2 linked regions of the Mytilus edulis genome follow. The protein of the gene in region 1 interacts with the protein of each later gene in a biochemical or structural test. Links are inferred from orthologs where the notes say so. Each region holds a gene or a part of one and is shown in the gene's direction. Other genes may lie near its edges.

What was found.
Region 2: the proteins of DNA polymerase iota-like (region 1) and DNA polymerase eta-like interact in far-western blotting, tested with the Homo sapiens proteins (2 studies listed by BioGRID). The link is inferred for Mytilus edulis from reciprocal best matches to the Homo sapiens genes POLI and POLH.

What each region holds. Positions count from the first base shown.
Region 1 is NC_092347.1:11,937,940-11,948,884, forward strand, and holds the start of DNA polymerase iota-like, read left to right. Parts: upstream 1-5,404; 5' UTR 5,405-5,536; intron 5,537-8,393; exon of another isoform or gene 8,394-8,590; intron 8,591-10,662; 5' UTR 10,663-10,800; coding exon 10,801-10,945. Other genes in the region: uncharacterized protein, read right to left, coding at 3,351-4,082. UniProt on the Homo sapiens protein: Error-prone DNA polymerase specifically involved in DNA repair. Plays an important role in translesion synthesis, where the normal high-fidelity DNA polymerases cannot proceed and DNA synthesis stalls. Favors Hoogsteen base-pairing in the active site.
Region 2 is NC_092346.1:54,549,030-54,560,602, reverse strand, and holds the start of DNA polymerase eta-like, read left to right. Parts: upstream 1-6,635; 5' UTR 6,636-6,654; intron 6,655-10,110; exon of another isoform or gene 10,111-10,122; 5' UTR 10,123-10,125; coding exon 10,126-10,250; intron 10,251-10,796; coding exon 10,797-10,931; intron 10,932-11,348; coding exon 11,349-11,527; intron 11,528-11,573. Other genes in the region: uncharacterized protein, read right to left, coding at 1-1,053. UniProt on the Homo sapiens protein: DNA polymerase specifically involved in the DNA repair by translesion synthesis (TLS). Due to low processivity on both damaged and normal DNA, cooperates with the heterotetrameric (REV3L, REV7, POLD2 and POLD3) POLZ complex for complete bypass of DNA lesions.

The sequences.
Region 1 (10,945 bases):
TTATTGACGCCTTGTATATTCTCCTTCTGTCTTTTCCATCTGTTATATCTGATATAATTCAATAAATCTTACCGGTATTTATTGACGCCTTGTATATTCTCCTTCTGTCTTTTCCGTCTGTTATATCTGATATAATTCAATAAATCTTACCGGTATTTATTGACGCCTTGTATATTCTCCTTCTGTCTTTTCCATCTGTTATATCTGATATAATTCAATAAATCTTACCGGTATTTATTGACTCCTTGTATATTCTCCTTCTGTCTTTTCCATCTGTTATATCTGATATAATTCAATAAATCTTACCGGTATTTATCGACGCCTTGTAAATTTTCCTTCTGTCTTTTCCGTTTGTTTTATCTGATATATTTCAATTAATCTTACCGGTATTTATCGACCCCTTGTATATTCTCCTTCTGTCTTTCCATCTGTTATATCTGATATATTTCAATAAATCTTATCGGTTTTTATCGAACCCTTGTATATTCTCTTTCTGTCTTTTCCATCTGTTATGTCTGATATATTTCAATGAATCTTACCGGTATTTATCGAACCCTTGTATATTCTCCTTCTGTCTTTTCCATCTGTTATGTCTGATATAATTCAATGAATCTTACCGGTATTTATCGAACCCTTGTATATTGTCCTTCTGTCTTTTCCATCTGTTATGTTTGATATAATTCAATGAATCTTACCGGTATTTATCGAACCCTTGCATATTCCCCTTTTGTCTTTTCCATCTGGTATGTCCGATATAATTCAATGAACATTACCGTTATTTATCGACCCCTTGTATATTCCCCTTCTGTCTGTTCCATCTGTTATATCTGATATAATTCAATGAATCTTACCGGTATTTATCGACCCCTTGTATGTTCTCCTTCTGTCTTTTCCATCTGTTTTATCAGTTATATTTCAATAAATCTTACCGGTATTTATCGATCCCTTGTATATTCTGAATCTTACCGGTATTTATCGACCCCTTGTATATTCTCCTTCTGTCTTTTCCATCTGTTTTATCAGTTATATTTCAATAAATCTTACCGGTATTTATCGATCCCTTGTATATTCTCCTTCTGTTTGTTCTATCTGTTATAACTGATATATTTCAATGAATCTTACCGGTATTTATCGACCCCTTGTATATTTTCCTTCTGTCTTTTCCATCTGTTATATCTGATATAATTCAATGAATCTTACCCGTATTTATCGTCCGCTTGTTTATTCGTCTTCTGCCTGTTTCATCTGTGATATCTTCTGAGCGTATAAAATTTAATTTAAAACCAGTAATTCAAGGAAAGTTAGTAAGAACAGATCTTCCTGTTCAATAAAGGGTCAAACGCAGGATATCCTTTTTGCGAGAGATAGAAAGCTATTGATAAAAACATTTATTTCAAAGAAAATACTATATATCGGTATATAATCTATTTTATAGTTTTAATAATATTCATGTGTTCATACAAGTTCCCAATACTTGATTTCTTTCACTCCACATTTTAAAAGTTATAGATCAAAGGTCCATATAAAATTTAAAACCAAAATACATTTTTTTCGTATAATCAACACACTCTAACTTCTCTATTTCCAACCTTTTATATATTCAGTATATCATGCAATTCTGCCAAAGTGCCAACGAACTTTTAATGTTATTAGCATATTATAGCTCGAAACTTATTAACCGGTGTAATTTTTATAGGTTCGACTTATTTGGATAAGTGGGTTTTACTCCAAAGTCAAACTGTGGTTGTATTCTGGAAACATGCTAAACACAGCAACAACAAGCATTAAGAAAAACAATAACTTTAGAAGTTTAATCTTCCAAACATGTTTGTCATTCTCAGAATAATCGACAGGATTGTAACCAGTTGGTCCGAGACCACAATTGTCGTCCCTTGTTTTTCGTTGTTCACGAATATAGTCGCTAGTGTTGACAGTGGGTTACTTGCCATTAATTTTTATACTCCTTCCAAATTTATTTCTCCATGTTTATTGCCTCAAATTGCAAGTATGGGGGTGAAATTACACTGTAAAAAAATTTGGGTCCAGAATTTTAAAGGAAAGTAGTGATTTGGTCCAGCTGAAAAAGGTTGAAAATTAGCACTTCGGAAGCTGTCAAAAGATTTCAAGACGCCCTAAACATAAAATTGTCCATATTTTGAGTTAGAGACGATGAAGTTTTCTATAATTTTGATATAATTTGTTCCAAAAGTAGTACAACCACACTGTAAAAGTTTCTTTGAGAAAGCGCAGGTGGGATTTTTTTTATTTTCATTTATGTTCTAAAAGAAATGCACTACGAAATAATTGTGTTCTCGGACCAGTTGCGAAGTTGAGCGTTCAAATGGCGTGGTCATGTTTCTGAAAATGTTTTGCGTGCAACGTACCAATAGTCGAGAAAAGACGTAATGGGGAGATAATATTGAAGAAGTATAATCCTGACTGTAGAGGCGAGGTCGCTACCAGAAAACCACCAAGGTGGTAAAATATGAAAATGGGATCAACTTACTTGAACCATGTGTTATGACATTTATTTTTTTCTTACATTAATGACCTAGATTTCAATAATAGTGACACTCATTTGAAAGTTCGTTTTGGTGACACTCATTTGAAAGTTCGGTTTGGTGACACTCATTTGAAAGTTCGTTTTGGTGACACTCATTTGAAAGTTAGTTTTGGTGACACTCATTTGAAAGTTGGCTTTGATGACACTCATTTGACAATTTTCTGGGTCTACCCCTTCAGCTACATTCAATATATCTAATGTTATAACTGGAAATATCGTTATTTTAAATCGATGGCTTTATTATCTAACCAATATATCCAGAAAATAGGTTTAAAACATCAATAAAAACTTGAGGGCGTGTTGTGTCCATGGTATCATTAAAGAGAGGCCAAAAATATCAAAAGGCTTTTCAAACTCATGATCACAATTGTCGAAAAATAGATGACAACGTTATGTGATAAAAAGACGAAAAAAAACAATCATACACAAAACACAACATAGAAGAATAGACTGAGCAATACAAACCCCAGAAAGAACAAAGCTGATCTCATGTACTCCAGAAGGGCACGCAGATCCTGATATGGTTCTGAGATACTAAAACTCTAGGTTGTTAATAGTGTTGTGGAAAAAATGAGTTCAGGCTAAAATAAAAAGTAGTTTTTATGTCCCAATTTATGGGCATTATGTTTTCTGGTCTGTGCGTACGTCTGTTCGTCCGTCTGTTCGTCCGTCCGTCCGTTCCTCGCGATTCTGTCTGTATTCTGTCTGTATTTCCCACTTGTGTAATTAGGATGGGTACGTCACAGATTCCTTTCGGCTATTATGTGACGGGTTGGTCTGCGCACAATTAGTCGCGCTTGCTGAGGAGTGCTGATTTAAACTCCTCGGTAGTAGTGGCGCACACTACTGAGTCTTCCAGATGGTTCCAGTTTATTGCAGTGCGCACAAAAATAGAGTTCTTGTATTGTTCTGTCTTACTGGTTGGAACTATGACCGCACGTTTGTTGTTACGGACTTGGTGGTCTATAATGTTTTTTGTTACAAAGTTATTATATGTTGTTGCTTTGATTTGTCTCTTTGGTCTATGAAATTGGATTAAATCGTCGGGAGGAAGCGCTGGTATCTTCCTCTCAACCACTTTGAAAAAGAAGATCAGTCGTTGTTGTTGGCGTCTTGATTGTAATGACAAGAGTTGAAGTTCTTTTAGCATTTTTGTCATACATCCTTCCTCTCTTGATTTGTAGTCTTTGGTAATGAATCTAGCACCTCTCTTTTGTATGGATTCTAGTTTGTCAATGTCTTTTTGGGTATATGGGTCCCAAATAATTGATCCATACTCCATTATTGATCGTATGAGAGCTATATATGCTGTTTTACGGCATTCCATAGGACAGTGTTGTAGGTTCCTTCTAAGGAAGCCTAGGGTAGAACTAGCTTTGTTACACGTATTTGTTATTTGTTCTTTCCATTTAAGATCTTCTTGTATTTGGAGTCCTAGGTATGGGTTGGATGACACTTGTTCAAGCGTGTGGTTGTTAAGGTTGTAAAAACGCTGACTTTTACTTTTCAGGCTAAGCATATAGCATTTTTTGGCGTTGAAGCGCATACCCCAGTCGTCGGCCCATTTTTCTAGTGATTTGAGATCCTCTTGTAGTTTGTTATGGTCATTTTGGTTTTTGATTTCCCGGTAGAGCAAACAGTCGTCTGCAAATAGTCGTACTGATGAGTTTACTGCATCTGGGAGATCATTTATATGACACAGGAAGAGGATGGGTCCTAGTACCAGGTTAAAGTTTTTTGTCGAGGTAGTTTTTGATGAAGTTGAAGTCAAATCAACTTTTAAAAAACTTAGTTTACATGTTCCCTATGATATGATCTTTCTGATTTCAATGACAAACGGTCCATAGAACATAGAAAAGGATAGTGCGGATGGACATCCGTGTACTGAGGAAACATTCTTGTTTTTTAATAAAAACAATCAAATGAAAACTGAGAAATATAAAATATTTATGTTATTGATTGAGCATCAACCTTAACTTAAATATAAATCTATTTTGTACATCACACATAATTGTATAAGGAAACTGGCAAAATTTCTAGATATATAATAAATATTTCGAGACAAAAACAGAGATTTTATCATAAATTCTCCGAAATTATAGGAAACTGGAAAATTTGTCAAATATAGCTTTATTTTAAAGATAACAATGATGACAGTCCATGAAAATTTTCAGAATTAAATGACCAAACATAAGTATACATGATATATAGTTTCACATAAATCTCCGAACACAGGAAACCTGAACATTTGTTATATGAATGGGGAAATTATTAGTTGTTGTCAATATTATCCCAAAAATGAACAGAGTAAGATGGAAGTTTTAAAATATCACGACAAGTGAAATTAGTTAGGCTGGTGTAACAGTTTCTACTAAATATTAAGATTATATCCTTTATATCATTAAACACACGAAATAGCACAAATCAGAGACGTATAGTATACATGTTTCTGCACAAATACACAAAACCCATTTATTAGAGAGGTTTAGCAAATGATTAACGTGAAATATGTGTATTGGATGGTCTGGATTCTGTTATTCTGTAAACATTTAATTTTAACCCCTTTTTTCTCCGTAATCTTTTAAAAATTAACCCCTTTTTTCTCTAATCTTCAAAAAATTAACCCCTTTTTTCTCTAATCTTCATTTTTTTTGCCCGTTATTCTCTAATCTTTATTTTTAAGGGCATTATTCTTAAATTATTTAACCCCATCCAAACCCTCATATTGTGACGATTTTTTTTTAGGTTCAATGTTGGTATTTTAGGTGTATCTGAAATGGTTTTCTTAAGTAAAGATCCAGTGAAACAACGTCGGTAAACTCCTGTGGTTTAAAAAAGGAAAAAATTGGTTTCTTTCCCCTTACTTATACATTCCCTGCTGAAAAAAAAGAAGCAAAAACATTCATCACTACAACAGTCTATCCTATTATTATACTAGTCCCATGTCTATCAGATATTAGGGAAAACATGAAGGTGATGCAATTTAAATAACGTTTACTCTATAGAAAATCCAGCACAGGCATGGGAAGATCCACTTTCAACGTACACTGTGGGTCTCATTGGGGTCTAAGCGTGACGCGGGATTGCCGATTTTTCGTAAGCGTGATACGGGAAAGTCAAATTATTGTGCCGTGAAAACGGGAATTAAGGGCTAGCGGGACACGGGAAATTACAAAAAAAATGAGAATTGCTTAGGTACATAGTATAAGCGGCATACGGGAATCTGACAAAACAGTAAGCGGGATCCGGGATCAGAACCCCCCAATGAGACCCCTTACACTGACGTTTATCACAAAACAGAGCTGTTTTTTGTGTAATTTCAAATGAATATGATAGGTTCTTGTGGGCAAGACTGTTTTAAGCTCACCTGGCCCAAAGTGAGCTTTTATCATCACTTGGTGTCCATCATGTCCATCGTCATCTATGTGTGTATAATATCACAGGAGTTTGAAATCCTATCAATAAGGGGGTAAAAATATACCAAAGTCGACTATTGTAACAGTTTATTTCTCTAATTTTTGTGCTATTTTCACATTTCCTGACCAGTGTGAGAAAAATATTTCTCCTCACTAGTGAAAAATCTGTTCTCGGCAAATGATTAGTCGAAATTTGATTATGACGTCAAAATGTTTTGTTTTCTTCTCAATTTTCCTATTGTGACGGCAAGCCTCGCGCTTTAAATAATAAAATTTAACTGTCTCAAGTGGAGAAATGTCGTAATACACTTGTTGCAGTGTAAGAATCTATATTTCTTCCTCTGTGATATTCTATCCTGAGGATAATTTGTCAAGGTAATTTTTTTCCAGGCATGGTATTTCACAGGTAGAACTTTTCCAGAGGAGTGAAAATCTATCTGTTATGCGGATAGTATGTACCGGTATATATTTGACATATATCATATTTCACAGAACCTTGTGAGATATAGTCCCATTAACTAGTAAGTAAGTTACTCGCAATCATTATATACCTGACTTTAATTATAAAATGTTTCACAAAGTCAAAGGTAGAACAAATTTGCATAATTTATCAAAGGGAGGTAATTATGAGCAATTCATATTTTAAGGATATTAATATAATATATTCCTGAATCTATTTCATAGCGAAATTTTTCCTTGAATCTTATTTTTTATATATTCATTTATAACAAGATGACTTACAACATGAATTTTTAATAAGACAGATAACATTTCACAGGTTAATACTATCCAGCTGTTAAAATTTCTTTTGTTCCAATATATTGTTATGCTATAATTTATCTGATTTCCATATAATCAACAACAACATCTTTGTTCCCAGACTATTTATATAGTTAAAAATATTATCGTAATCAAATTCTTCCATTACTGTTAACAGTAGTAATGCAACTATATTTCTACCTTTACGTTTTAATTTATATTTGTACTGAGATCTGAAAACAACTCACTTTTACATGTATTACACTTACCTTATTTAATCATGATATTATTTCACAATTACGATCTTTGAAATTTTTTCCTATTTTCTTTCTTGTGAACTGATAATTTTCTTTTCAAAAGAATGATATTTACTTGAATTTTTTCAGGAAATTTTTTCAATGATAATTTGTGAAATAATTCCCATAATAATACATTATTTTTTTTACAAAATAGGTTTAATTTAAATACACTATTATTATTTCATAGTATTTGTAAAGGATTTTTTTTTCTTATAACTATTCAATAAGTTAACTACCCAGATAGAATTTCACGGTAAAAGAAAAAATATCCCAGGGAAATATTTACCTCCGGATAAAACAATAACAACAACTACTGTGACATTTTTTCCTCCGGATCAAATTTCACCCGGATATAATTTTGCTTTACATAATCACAGTAGAGCTTCTCTCGTATTTCATGTATTTGGTATATTTTTACCCCCTTATTGATAAGATTTCAAACTCCTGTGATAATATGAACATAATTTCATAAATATACTAGAACTAACTTGTAATTTGCTAATTACTATCAATTCAAAGTTTATTATTCCCAGCTGACTATATCCGTGGATAAAAAGCTTTGAATTGATATTTGTTAACACATGTAAGATAATTAAACATTGATTCTAATGCAACATCTTTTGTTACATTCATTTATTGGAGAACATCACCAATTTTCATGGAATTAGTTCACACTTAATCAAGGCTTCCAAAACGGTCATATATTCCGGACAATTGTTTAATGTCCGGTAAAAGTCTGTCTGGGCAAAACATGAAACGGTCATCTACTTTTATGTAGTCAATGCTTTTTACAGAGACAGTCATTTGACATACATTGTACATGTATTTCACTATCTTTTTTAGCTAACCTTTGGCCTTTGACAGCCACACGTTTCCAGCCATAAAATGACATGATGATTAATTAGTATCAAAACAACCCCTACTTCAATACTTTCTGACTTTAATCAAGGCTAATTAGTTGTTGGACAACTGAAAAACTACCTGTTCAGGTGACAGGTAAACTATTTTCAGTACAGGCATCGTTTAAATTGATTGGTCAATTTAAAGTTATTTTCTTACATTTCAGCGGTTTCTATCAAACTGATTTAGTCCAACAGATTAAAATTATAAGAAATATGTTTATAAACATACATGGTTTGATAAACATGATAAAAAAAAATTAAAAAGGTATTAAATGAAAAATTGTCAGAACTACGTTGTATGAACTAGGACACGTGTGCTCGTGTGTGCAGGTGGGAAATTTGTAAATTATGCTTCCTACATACATTTTAAGTATTTTTTTGAAGAAATAATGTGGAAAAAGCTTCTTCACTCAGTCGTGCTTTGTAAACATACACAGATTTTACGTTTCTGGTCCATGTTTTAGCATGTTTAGCATTGTCAAGTCAACATCTCGTATTAGGAAAATGTGATTTTAAAAACGAAAGTAAAGTTTTTGTCAACGTAATTTGGCACTAATAAGAGTCGGGCAGATATGAGCAAGCTGATGTGCCATTTGGGATGATGCACTGCCAATTTAACAGTTTATGTCCTAACATCAAATTCATATCAAAGTAAAGTCAAATATCATTTTTTGGGATACGATTGCTTTCAAGCAATCTGTAGACTTTTACCATTGGCTCAGGGCAATGCCCTCACGTCAACCGTTTTAACTTTCATTCTAAACATTAAGGAACATCACAGATTGTTATGATTGTCTTTCTTTAAAAGGTAAAATCAAACAAAGGGATTGAACTTAAACAACTTTCCTATAATGTTCTTTTCATAATCTGCATGTTTGATAATTCACTTGACTTATATGCATGTTTTTAACAACACGGAAAATCAGAATTAAGCAGTATTAATATTTAGTGTTTTTAGAAATTTAGAAACACGTCAGAGGGAATTCCCCAGTTTTGATAAAAATGCGAGAGTTCTCTGAATTCCGATAAATCTATTTCTGTCATATAAGAACTGAAGTGGAGTTTTTCTTATATATGTTGCCGTTATGAAACTGATATTTGAGATTGTATTTCCATACAGAAATAGAGAATCATCTAGGTCGTTTAATAGACATTTAATATACGTTCTTGCTCCAGGTTTTGTTTTTGGTAATTATGCGCATGCGTATAGTTTTGTTGACTTCAAGGGGTATTAGATTGAATGGTTGCTCTGGATTCCCCACTCAATTAGTTAATTTATAACTCATTGGATCTTTTCTATGTATGTCTGCCATTTAGGGTTATTGTTGTTGCATAATTTTAAATCATATGCATCATTTGAATTAAAATGAATGTAGTCCACATCGTCAAGATGTTACTAGAACACCCCTTCAGGCAAAATGGAGTCTTCCATATTATCGTTTCGAGTTGTCTCCCTTCCGGAAGTAAACTCCGTGAATTCTGAATAAAAAACAATGCATCGATAAACGTCGTATTTTATTAACAAGAGTGCCCACACTGAAATGTCTCGCCTTCTTTACTAATCATTGATATTATGTTGATAGTCCTAAGTATAAAGCTTGATTACAACTGTCACATAAACTTAACATTAACCATGATAGCTAAACAAAGACCAATGAACCATGAAAATGAGGTCAAGGTCAGATGAACCATGCCAGGCAGACATGTACAGCTAACAAAGCTTCCATACAACAAATATAGTTGACCTATTACTTATAGTTTAAGAAAAATAGACCAAAACACAAAAACTTAACACTGGGCAATGAACCGTGTAATTGAGGTCATGGTCAATTAAAACCTGCGTGACTGACATATAGATCATAATATATTTCCATACACCAAATATAGTTGACCTTTGGCATATAATATTAGATAAAAAGACCAAAACTTAAAAACTTAACTTTGACCACTGAACCATGAAAATGAGGTCAAGGTCAGATGGCATCTGCCCGCTAGACATGTACACCTTACAACCATTCCATACAACAAATATAGTAGACCTATTGCATAAAGTATGAGAAAAACAGACCAAAACACAAAAACTTAACTATAACCACTGAACCATGAAAATGAGGTCAAGGTCAGATGACACCTGCCAGTTGGACATGTACACCTTCCAGTCCTTCCATACACCAAATATACTAGCCCTATTACTTATAGTATCTGAGATATGGACTTGACCACCAAAACTTAACCTTGTTCACTGATCCATGAAATGAGGTCGAGGTCAAGTGAAAACTGTCTGACGGGCATGAGGACCTTCAAGGTACGCACATACCAAATATAGTTATCCTATTACTTATAATAAGAGAGAATTCAACATTACAAAAATGAACCATGAAAATGAGGTCAAGGACATTGGACATGTGACTGACGGAAACTTCGTAACATGAGGCATCTATATACAAAGTATGAAGAAACCAGGTCTTTCACCTTCTAAAATATAAAGCTTTTAAGAAGTTAGCTAACGCCGCCGCCATCGTAGCCGCCGTAGCCGCCGCCAGATCACTATCCCTATGTCGAGCTTTCTGCAACAAAAGTTGCAGGCTCGACAAAAACAATCGAATTTAAACTGAGAAATGTGTACGGAAAGAAGTCATGCCCACTGACCCAAAGGAAATTAAATATTTAGCTAAAGTGCAGTGTTAATCTTGATTAAAAAATATATATAATTTTTTTTTCAGGTAGAAAAAGACTTATTTTGATCAATAATCATATATATATTGATGGGTCAGTTGATAGCCAGTTAGGATACTTGTCAACCTTATAACAATTAACTAGAGTAACCAAACTTTAATGCTTCAATACATATAAAGTGCATAATGTATGAAGAGGAAGCAGGAATAGACGTACATGAAGATGATTCCGAATGGACAAATCCTTTCTATGAACAAGATAGCATGCATAGTAATCATGTTGAACCACCACAAAGTAAAAAGAAGAGAAATAGTACATGTAATGCAGTCT
Region 2 (11,573 bases), on another chromosome or scaffold:
TAGAGACATTTGGAAATGATTCAGTGCAAACAGAACTGCTTTCATTTCCAATACATTGATATGCTCTTCCAAAAGATCTGGACTCCAGACTCCCGAGATTGTAAGCCCCTCCAGATATGCTCCCCAACCGAGGGTGGAGGCATCTGTGAATAATGTTAGACTGGGAACTTGAGGGAACAGACATAGGCCCCTCATTACATTTTCCCGTACTAACCACCATTGAAGGTGTGGAAATAAAGGCTGAGTGATTGGAATCAATGCTTCCCATTCTTGTGAAGCTGCAATCCATAACTTGTGCAGATAAAACTGAAGCGGACGAATGTGAAGTCGTCCCAATGGAATTACATCTGCCAGAGAGTTCAATAGACCCAGAAGTTGCAAGAATTGACGTGCTGTGACTGATTGAACCGTCAGGAATAAATGTATTTTCTGACATAGTTTTGTAAATTTCTCCTCTGGTGGGAGGACTAGGCCTACACTGGTTAGGAAATGTTCTCCCAGGAAAACAAAGTCTTGAGACGGAATTATCTCTGACTTTTTCCAAGAGATAAGGAAACCTAGGGACAGAAAACAATTGATGACCAAATCTGTCTGAACCCTCAAGTTGATTGGGCAAAATTCCTTGAGAAGGGAATCGTCCAGGTAGGAATGAATCTGAATAGACAGGGAATGTAGGTGAGCTATAGCTGCCTGCATGATTTTGGTAAAAGCCAAAGGGGCTGTAGACAGGCCAAAAGGGAGAGCCTTGAACTGGAAAACTTTGTTGTTCCAAACGAAGCGAAGGTATTTCCTGTAAGTTTGGGAAATGGGAATGTGGAAATACGCGTCTGAAAGATCCAGAGAAGTAGTCCACATTCCTGGAAGGATTGAAGCCCTGATGGATCTGTTTGTTTCTATTTTGAAGTGGGGAACAATAAGAAATTTGTTCAGAATAGATAGGTCTATGACCGGCCTCATTCCTCCAGTCTTCTTTGGAACCAGAAAAAGACGGGAATAAAATCCTGGAGACAGAGTTAAGATCGACACCTCCTCTATTGCAGCTTTTTGTAACATTGTGTCCACTTCTACTGATAGAAGTTGACACTTTACTGGGTCTTGAGTATGAGACAAACTTATTGGAACTGCAGACAGAGGAGGTGGGTTCTTGAACTGAAGTGTTAATCCCCCTCGAATTATTGACAGCACATAACAGTCTGAGGTAATTTTCTTCCACTGATTTAGGAAAAAACTTAACCTCCCCCCTACTGGTATTGATTTTTGAGGAACTTGTTGTAAATTTTCCCCTGGGGAAGCTGTCAATAACGTACGAGGGGGCAAGAACCTAGGTACTAGATCCAGGTTTCTTGGAACCCTTAAAACCACCAGAAGGCTTACCTGAGCTTTTTCCTGAGTTATTGGGTTTGTTCTGCGGTTTGCCGTAGTTATTCTTCCTTTTCTTAGCAGAAGAAGGAGGATAACCTGAAGCAGAAGTACTAGTAGAACTAGATGTAGCATTAACCGACCTTTTGCCATTAGTAACTTGTACACTAACTTTGACTGGAGGAGGGTTTTTGCTGAGTTCCTCTTGAACCCGCTGTAAGGGTAAACCAAACATCTTGTCAGAGAGTGGAGATTTCAGTAAAGAATCTTTCAAAGGCTCAGCGATAGAAATGTTTTCAAGAAACTCTGCTCTTTTAGATAGGGTGCAATTAGCAATAGAACCCATTAAAAGCAACTGAGATGAACCTAAAGCTTTATCCAGTTGAAGTAAGAAGGATCGTACTTCTGCTGGAACAACCGAATCTTCGCTGTTAAGCAAATGTCCGGTTGCAGCTAGAAAATGTTCGGCTGTACCAAGAACTTGAGAAGCACTACGAAGGAAATTCTCAGTCTTTGACCAAACAGGTTGAGTGAGACGAAGACCATCTACTGGCTTTTTTCCCAATAAAGATGACATAGATTTGTCACAACTGGGAACAAGTCTACCCAGTGAAGAATCAAAGATATCAAAATCCTTGTACTTAACCATATCAGAAAAGGATGACATTCCAAATCCTGAGATATTGTTATTAGCAACCTTTTCACTAGCAAAATTAGCGATACCTTCATTAATAAATTGTAAAGCAAAAGCCATATGGCCAGATTCAGGAAAAGAATTGTGAGAAGTCACAGTATCCTGAGAAATACCACAGGAAGCTTCAAAAGTTGAAGAAGGTTTCTTCGGCTTGGAAGGAGAGGCAAAAGGGATATGTGCTTCATCCCTCATCAAGGTATACACCTTATCCCTAAGATCCTTCAAGGAAGGAGGATCCTCGGTCTCCTTGGTGGGAGGTTGTTGAGCTGACTTAGAAGAAGGCTCAGGGGCCGTCTTCGATACCTTGGGAGAAGAAGAACTTTCAACATCCTCATCAGTGAGGAAAGCCCTTTCATGACTCCCAGGGGAAACAGAAAGCTCGTCATCCTCCCTCTCATCACATTCTACAGACTTAGCTGGAGAAGGTTGATGAGAAGAAACTCTATTCTCCAGTAGAGTCATACGACTGGATAGAGTACTAAATTCAGCCTTGAAAGACTCACCAAAGTCCAAAAGTAACTTCTGTAAACCATCCAAAGGTGATGCATGATCAGAAACCTGAGTACCATGAGAAGAACTAGAAGCTTGAGAGTCAGGTACGGTGGTAGAAGGAGCTACTGCAGAAGTCAAAGATACTGCTACGGGTAGAGCAGGAGCTAAAGGTGGTGCAGTAGCTACCCCAGAAGGGGGACCATAGAAATTGTCCCTATAAGGCCAAAAACCAGGTTGGTTTGGCATAAACCCACCATAAGGGTAAGACTGTGGCCAAGGTGGCTGAGACCATGAGGGTAAAGGTTGTGTGCCCGTGTTGGGAAGCATATACCCACAATAGGATAATGGGGGTCTAGAACCTGGCAAGTTCAAGCCCATAGCTGTACCTGGGACAGAACTAATAGTACCCGCTGAATTAACAGGCCTAGATAAAGTATGAGTCACCGAAGTTGACGTAGGTACCCCCCCAAAATGCATGGCCGAACCTTGTGAAAGGGTCGGATAGGTAGCATTACCAGACACCGTTGTCGAAACTCCGGTCAATGTACTGGTAGTTTGGGGGGGACTTAAAGGTAGTGACCCATCTAAGAGATAGTCCGAACCAGGAATACTTACATACGGACTATTCAAATTAAAGTCCATAATAAATTTTACTTTAGTAAAAAAAACACAAATAATTTGTTTAGAAATTTAAACAAAACAAGGGAATATATTTCCAATAAAATACACAATATATATGAAAAGCAATTAAGCTATTCAAAAAACTAAACACTTCTCTGTTGAATCTGTAAAACTTGATGTGCACGTGTGACCGATGTCGCAGATGGAAATTGAATGGAAGAATATGGGCAAACAGGGGTATATGTCCGGACCAGTGAGAGTAAGTTTATTTTTAGTCGGGATTTTCCATCTGACCTATGACGCAATTGGGGTTATACTCAGAATTTATGATGGTAACGGATTTATAGCTATAAAAACATTGAAGATTTTAAATGAAAAACACAAAAGACAATTGTTTTTTTTTAAAACAGCTTGATCCCTTTGATCTGAATAAATGAAACAATAAAATATAGCAATACACTATTATAACCAAAACATGATGAAATTTATTCAACACACAAAAAAAAACGTAGTCAGAAACTCACTTCATTTTGAAACAAGTCAATGAAACAAAGTTATAGCAATACACTAACCAAAACATGATTAAGAGTTATTCAACACAAAATATAAAGTTGACAGAATCCCACTTTATTTAGAAAGGATTTTTTTTTTTTAACAATTCACTTGGATTTGTATCAAAAGTAGTAAAAAAGAGTACAAATCTATTTCAGTTTTTTTTTAATGAGGTACAAATCATCATCAGTTATTACAGCTTTTACATTAATGCTAGCAAGACAAATCTTTGTTTGGCTTGCTTGCTTTGTTTGTATCAGTGTTTGCTCAAGCATGGTAATTAAGATAGGCGGGGCTTCAGCTTGTGTACATCATACTTAGATTTTATTGGACGTTATGTCTGAGGTTAAGGACACTTAATTTTAAAACATCACATGACAAATATTCTCACATGTTTTCTCACCTGTAAAAATACAATAATTTGTCAATGAAAGAAAAATATAAACTTTTTTCTTGTATGAGCTGAGAAACTGGCCTTTTCAACATTAATTGACCTAACATTGTTTTTATAACATATCAATCTATTAGTTCAGTCAGTTATTTCCATGTCTGTCCTTATGCAACTCGAAAAAATATTCCAAAAAATGGGAAACAATTGTATCGAAAAGAAAATCGAGTGCACCTTTTTTTTTATGTTAGGGTGTGTTTGAGATGAATATTTTGTCTTGAAAATGTACAAAACAAGAGTATTTGATACATCATCTCGCTTCAGACTCTATCTATCATTTTATATAGCAAAGCTACTACTAAAAGATGAAATATAGGGGTCAAGTGAAATACCTATCCAATGGATCACAAAATCAGAGTAGGTGTGTTCGAATAGCTATTTTACTAAAAGTGTTGACGACAGTCTTTAAGTTGGATCTCTGAAAAAAAATTGTCTTCCGTTTCTACGATTTTGAAAATGAACTGGCGAAGTAGGAAGATAATTTCGACGAAGTAGAATCCTGTCTGTATTGTATATTAACAGGTAAGGAAACATATGAGAATACGTGTCATGTGATGTTTTAAAATTTAGTGTCCTTAACCTCCAACATAACGTCCAATAAAATTTAAGAATGATGTATACAAGCTGAAGCCCCGCCTATCTTAATTACCATGCTTGAGCAAACATTGATACAAACAAAGCAAGCAAGCCAAACAAAGATTTGTCTTGCTAGCATTAATGTAAAAGCTGTAATTAAATATATAAGTTTGTTTTGATTGATATTTTTGTAACCTGGAGGACAAAGTTTAGACTGTCATGCTTGTCATAATATTGCACCATAGCTGATGCATTCTGCTTCTGCATTCAGAAAACATTTTATGGCCCTCTCCAAATAGCTCTTTAATGTGAAGGGATATTTCTCCGTAAACTGGTATCGTCACATCTTTTCCCCATTCGATGACTCCACACATGTTTCCCAAATTAGGAACCTTCTTCTTCTTCTTCTTTAGGTTTTCAGTCTTCAATGATCTGAAGATTATTTACTGTTTGCGCGCGCAGCGTGGCCTATATATATATTTACAAAAACAAAAGGGCCAAAACAAAAACAAAAATATTTGGAAATAAATTTGAGGTGCATAATTTATTAAAATTGTGATTAAAACTATGTACATAGGCTAATAATGAGTTAGATGAATTTGTGGAGAACAGCTGGTGTGAGCTGTTCTCTGAAAGTGTCGACTGTGGCGACAGCGACTGTTTGCATTGGCAATAAGTTCCACTGAGTTATGGTATATGGAAAAAATGAGTATTTATATGTATCTTTTTTGGTTGAAATGTGTCTAAAAGTATAATTATGGTTTTTGCGTGTTCTACTGTCTGATGGTATGAGAATAGCCGATGGTATAGCTACGATTTGATGTACTATTTTATAGAACATTATTAATCTTGTGCGAGTTCTTCTTTCCTGTAGAGTTGGCCAGTTTAGGGTGTTTATCATATCTGTCGGGCTACTGATGTTATGGTATCTGTTACAGACATATCTGGCAGCTCGCCTTTGGACCATCTCGATTTTTGAGGTTTGTTCAACTGTGTGAGGGTCCCATACTGAACATGAATATTCCAGTTTAGGACGGACTAGTGCCAGATATGCCTGAGTTTTGATGTTCTGACATGATGTTTTTAAGTTTCTTTTTAAGAAGCCCAGAGATTTGTTGCCATTAGCTATGATGTTGTCTGTATGTTTAGACCATTTTAGGTTTGCTTGAAGTGTAATGCCCAGATATTTAGCCGAAGAGACAAGTTCCAGTTTGTGATTGTGAAGGATATAGTCATGTTTAAATGGGTTTTTCTTCTGTGAGACTGTAAGGACTGTGCATTTGTCTGGATGGAAAGCCATCAACCAGTCTTGCTCCCACCTAGCAGCTGCATCTAAATCTAACTGTAGTGCATCACAGTCGCTTTGAGATTTGATGGTTTTGTAGATGATACTGTCATCGGCAAACAGTCTGAGCTTACTGGATGATAGGTATTCTGGTAGGTCGTTAATGTATACCAAGAATAATACTGGGCCCAGAACTGTGCCTTGAGGGACACCTGAGGTGACTGGGGCTAGGTCAGATGACTCTCCATCCAGGACAACTGTTTGTGTTCTGTCATTTAAGAATGCAGAGACCCAGTTTAAAGTTTCATTTTGGATACCGTAATAGTGTAATTTATAGAGTAATCTTTTATGAGGGACTTTGTCAAAGGCTTTGGCAAAGTCCATTATAATTAAGTCTATTTGAGTGTTGTTGTTATTATTTGCTGCAAGTTCTTGAATGAATGAAATGAGTTGTGTTTCGCAAGATCTAGACTGACGGAAGCCATGCTGGAGGTCATACAGTATGTTGTTCTTTTCAAGATGGTTGATGATGTGTTTTGTGATGATATGCTCCATAAGTTTACAGGATATACATGTCAATGATATAGGGCGGTAATTTTCTGGTTTATATTTAAAGCAGATGTTTATGTAAGTCCATCACATCGTGACCTCTAGATTTGATGTTGATGTTGTCAGTTTATTTTCGATTGATGAGTGTGAATATCCCTTCGGTATCCAGGTATCTTTCGCCCCTCTTTTCGATCAGTGTCATGAAACGAAAACGAGACGTTTTCATCAGAAAGCAGTGTCAGATTTAGAACTGTTCATCAGGGGGACCACTGACTGACCTGAGAGGGTCCTGGTCTAGTCATGTTTAATCAATCAAATTTTTTCGACGAAAAAAGGGGGGGGGGGTAGCATGCCAGAGGTATCTTCTTTCTTCTTCTTTAGTTACGGAATACCATCAACTTTTTGAGGATTACTTTCCGGCGCATGCCTGTATGAGGTCGCTTTAAGTTAATTTCATTTTTTTTATTACTTTTATTTATTTATGAAATTTACAATTTTTTTAGTTTCAATTTTTACATTTTTTATATATATTTTTTTATAACTATAAGATAAAAACAATAAGCACATTTAGTTCAGATGAGAGTATGTTTTAAGGAGCACCTCATGAGTGAGTTCAGGTATCAGGTTCCTTCGCGCCCAATACACTTTCGCACCCTACAAGTTCACACCTCCCACATTTGCACCTCTCACATTCGCACTTCACACATTCGTACCCAAGGTGACCCGTTCGCACTCTACACGTTCGCACCCAATTTTAATTCAAATTCCAGTTGGATAATTGGAAAATCATGATTGTTGTTATAAATTGCTTTGGTGTAAGTAAAACATTCAAGATTTTAAATGAAAAACACAAAAGATAATTGTTTTTAACAGCTTGGTCCCTTTGATCTGAAACAATAAAATATATTGCAATACACTATTATAACCAAAACATGATGAAATTTATTCAACACACAAAAAAAAACGTAGTCAGAATCTCACTTTATTTTGAAACAAGTCAATGAAACAAAGTTATAGCAATACACTAACCAAAACATGATTAAGAGTTATTCAACACAAAATATAAAGTTGACAGAATCCCACTTTATTTAGAAAGGATTATTTTTTTTTTTTAACAATTCAATATCCAAAACATGATTTAGATTTATTCAACACAATAAAAAATGCTGTCCCACTTTTTTTTGAGACAATGACAACAAATATAAAAATGGCAGTGTCTGCACATTGGATTTTCTATTAAACTGCGATCGGATCGGAATGAAACGTGAAATATATACGATAATCATCGATAATATTGGGATTTCGTGTAGAACGAGTGAAGAGTATGAAAAATGATATTTTCAAATTGTATTTATTAAATAATGATACATAAAAAAACATTGCAAAATTAAATGCACAATGATGGAAAATGAAACTGTACAGTCCCTGTAAAAGAAAAACATGATAGAAATAAATACTATTATAAAATTTAAATGAAAATGTAAAGAATAACATTTTAATAATTTAAAAATATACCCATATGATAATTTGAAATAATCTTTTAGTAAAATGTAAAACAGAAACGAAAATTTTAAAATATATAAAACTACTAAAAGGTTAAAATGAACAAAATTATAAAAAGATAATCAAGTAAACTATAAAAGAACCTTTTTTTTTTCAATCTATTATGTTTTTTCACTTGTTTGTAATGCAAAAGATAAAAATAAATCATTTTTTATTTTTAAAATAAGAATTCCATGACAATGTTTGATGTTTAAAGAAATTATAGTTAATATTCAAAAGAAAAAAGAAAAACTAACCAGGCACGTTTCTCATCTCAGTCAGTAATGTTGCTAATGTGCCTACATTTGATTGATGCGTCATAGGCCTGTGTATATTGTGCAGGTCTTTTAGCGTCACTACTTTCCCAGTTGACGATAGATCATATTGGAGGAGTTTTTTTTTTGCCTTCATTTTAAGCATGTTTTTGACATCTAGTTTCCTTTGTCTAGTCAGATGCTCAAATAGACATTTATTGATCTCATGATTGTGAAAACTGTGTGATTCCCTCACAATCAGGTTTTGTCCATCTTTAGTTACGCCAAGTTTAATGTGGAAAGGACATTAAAAAAACTTAAATAAACGCTGCAAATTCGAAAATACAATTTAAAACAAATACCTTGTATTAGGCCTTTTTCCTGTCGAATTAGTTTGGAATTTTTCCCACCATGAATGCAGGAAAAATTTATACTGTTGTACTTTAAATCTTCTTTAATTTTTGTGCTCCCGGTTCTTCTTTTCTCTGCGGCTGCTATAGATTCCTAATTTCTTGTATACAATTGTATGAAATTTAACGCCTGATAGTTCTGTACAAATTTTTCTAATTCATGATAAGTCTGAAATGTATTCCCCACAGTTATAATATCACTCTCTTTCATTTTAAGAATATTTACTTACTGAGAAAAAACTGTTCACTTACCTATATATAAATGTGTATATTTATAAAAATTCTGAGTAGTTTAATCAGTTTATTCACTAATTGCAAAAAATTCCGTTTATATTTCACGTTTCATTCCCGATCCGACGGCATTTTATTATAAAACCAGACGTGGGTACGCGCAGCCTAGAACGGCAATTTGACTATTCGTACACGCAGACACTGCCTATAAAAATACACTTGCCAAAACTTGATTACAAAGCTATAGTTATTAAACACAAAACCAATTAAAATTGGGCGCGAACATGTAGGGTGGGAAAGTGAAAGGGGCGAACATGAGTTGGTGCGAATGTGAATGGGCGTGAACGGACCCGGAATCCCTGCCAGACCCCTGCCAGTGCTCTTGGTCTTGGATCAGACTATGGAAATTAAATTGCATTTACCATCACACGACAAAACTTAACCCTCTTACTGCCATCAGTTTTTTAAGGTGACGCTACATGACAAACAATGATGTCATTCAATTTATGACGTCACACTCTTATGACCATAACAGTTGGAATCCATTGAAGAAAAGCATTAAACTATTAAATCTTTTGAATTTACGAATGATATGATTACTTAAAATGTTTTCCCTCACAATTAACAAATCGTTATTGTTCTACCAATACACGATTTTTTACTTTCAGTACTTAGTTTTTGATTTATTTTGTTTGTGTGTTTAATTTTGGCACTTTCATTGGAGGCACCAAATAAACCAAAAATAAATCTACAACCAAAATAATCCAATTTACGGTACATACATGTATCATGAAAACTTTGTGTGAACAGACTAACAACAAATACTGACATTTTCTGAAACAAGGTTGAAAATGTGTTGCCAAATTATATATCAGTCAGTTGAATATCAGAACATGCATGAACATGGTGATCACTGTTTCATACAGATTAAAGCATGCATTTGTTTTATGTTGAAAGAAGGGGTTCCTTATTGTATGTCTTGTCCTGTCAATTTATTATGAGTTTTACCAGAAGTTTTATCGTTATTGTTGTGGTGTACATGTGTTTTCAGAAATATCTGTTGATAAATATTTATTTTGACATTATTTTTCTTTCAGGATATATTACAGACCATGGACAGAGTCATAGCCTTAGTAGATATGGATTGTTTCTATGTACAAGTGGAACAAAGATTACAACCAGAATACAAGGGAAACCCATGTGCTGTCGTTCAATACAAAAAATGGAAAGGAGGAGGGTAAGCAAGTTTTCTGCTGTTTATATAGATTTAAGATTATTATAATGTTTCACATGTACCATCTCTTACTGACAATCATGAAAAATTGTACACACATACACAGCTACACAATAAACATTGTATCTTATAATTATACCTGTTAAAATGTTTTGTTCATTGAATCACTCAGCAATATCCATGATAGGTACTTCATGAGCCAAATTGTTTGCCAAACACTTGTTTGTGTCATGAACAAGAAACATGATTAAGTGTAAACCATGATAAATGGTGTCAAATGTAGGCCTGACTTATAAGATGATATCTGAAACTTTTTGATAAGTTTCTTGTAACAGTCTTAAAATAGCTAAGTGTACAGTTAGGTCAGGATAAGATTTATTGTACAAATTTTGTAATTGATGTGAATGCAAACTTCCAGTCAATCATAGAACAAAGGATTGACATGTTGCTGTAAAAAAAAAAAGACAGAAAGGTTTGTGAAATTCATGATTTAACCCGTTGACTGAAACAACTTGGAAGTTTTCTATAGTTTATTTTTGTTATTTGTAGGATAATAGCTGTAGGATATGAAGCAAGAGCTTGTGGTGTAAACAGGAACATGTGGGGTGATGATGCTAAGAAAGTGTGTCCAGACATACACTTCTTTAGAGTACCAGAGTACAGAGGAAAAGCTGATCTTACTAAGTATATTGTTTTTATTTCAATCGTCATGAACTTCAGTTGTTTAATAATGTGTATTTTCAGACTACTTGTCAGACTATAAGTCATCTACCAGTAGGTACATGAGTACTTTGAATTAAATGAATCTTATACGTCTTTTGTAGTAGATACTATCTCTTGTCATTAAAAAAAATATATGAGTTTGATGAATCGTTTTAAAGCAAATTGACTGTGGAATTAAAGGCTGATCAATTATAGTGCTCTTAAAGGGTAAGCAGTTTCTACTTCAAAAAAGTCACCTGGCAATTTTTATGAAAGTAAAAAGTCACATATGGAAGTTTTATTTGAGCCTATTATCTCTGTTTTAGCTAGCCCCCTGTATCATGTTGTTCTTAAAGTCATGAAAAACTGCATTTCAAATATTCATTATATCTTTTTAAGGTTTAGAGATGCAGGTAAAGAAGTGATTAATGTTCTGAGTAAGTTCAGTGACTGTGTAGAGAGAGCCAGTGTTGACGAGGCATACATTGATCTTACAGAAGAAGTTAAAAGAAGGATGGACAAAAGAGCACAGCCAGAACTGCTACAGAATACACACATTGTAGGCTTTGAACAAGAAGGTATTTTAAAATGTCACCTTTTCTACTCGATAGATAATTTTTGTGG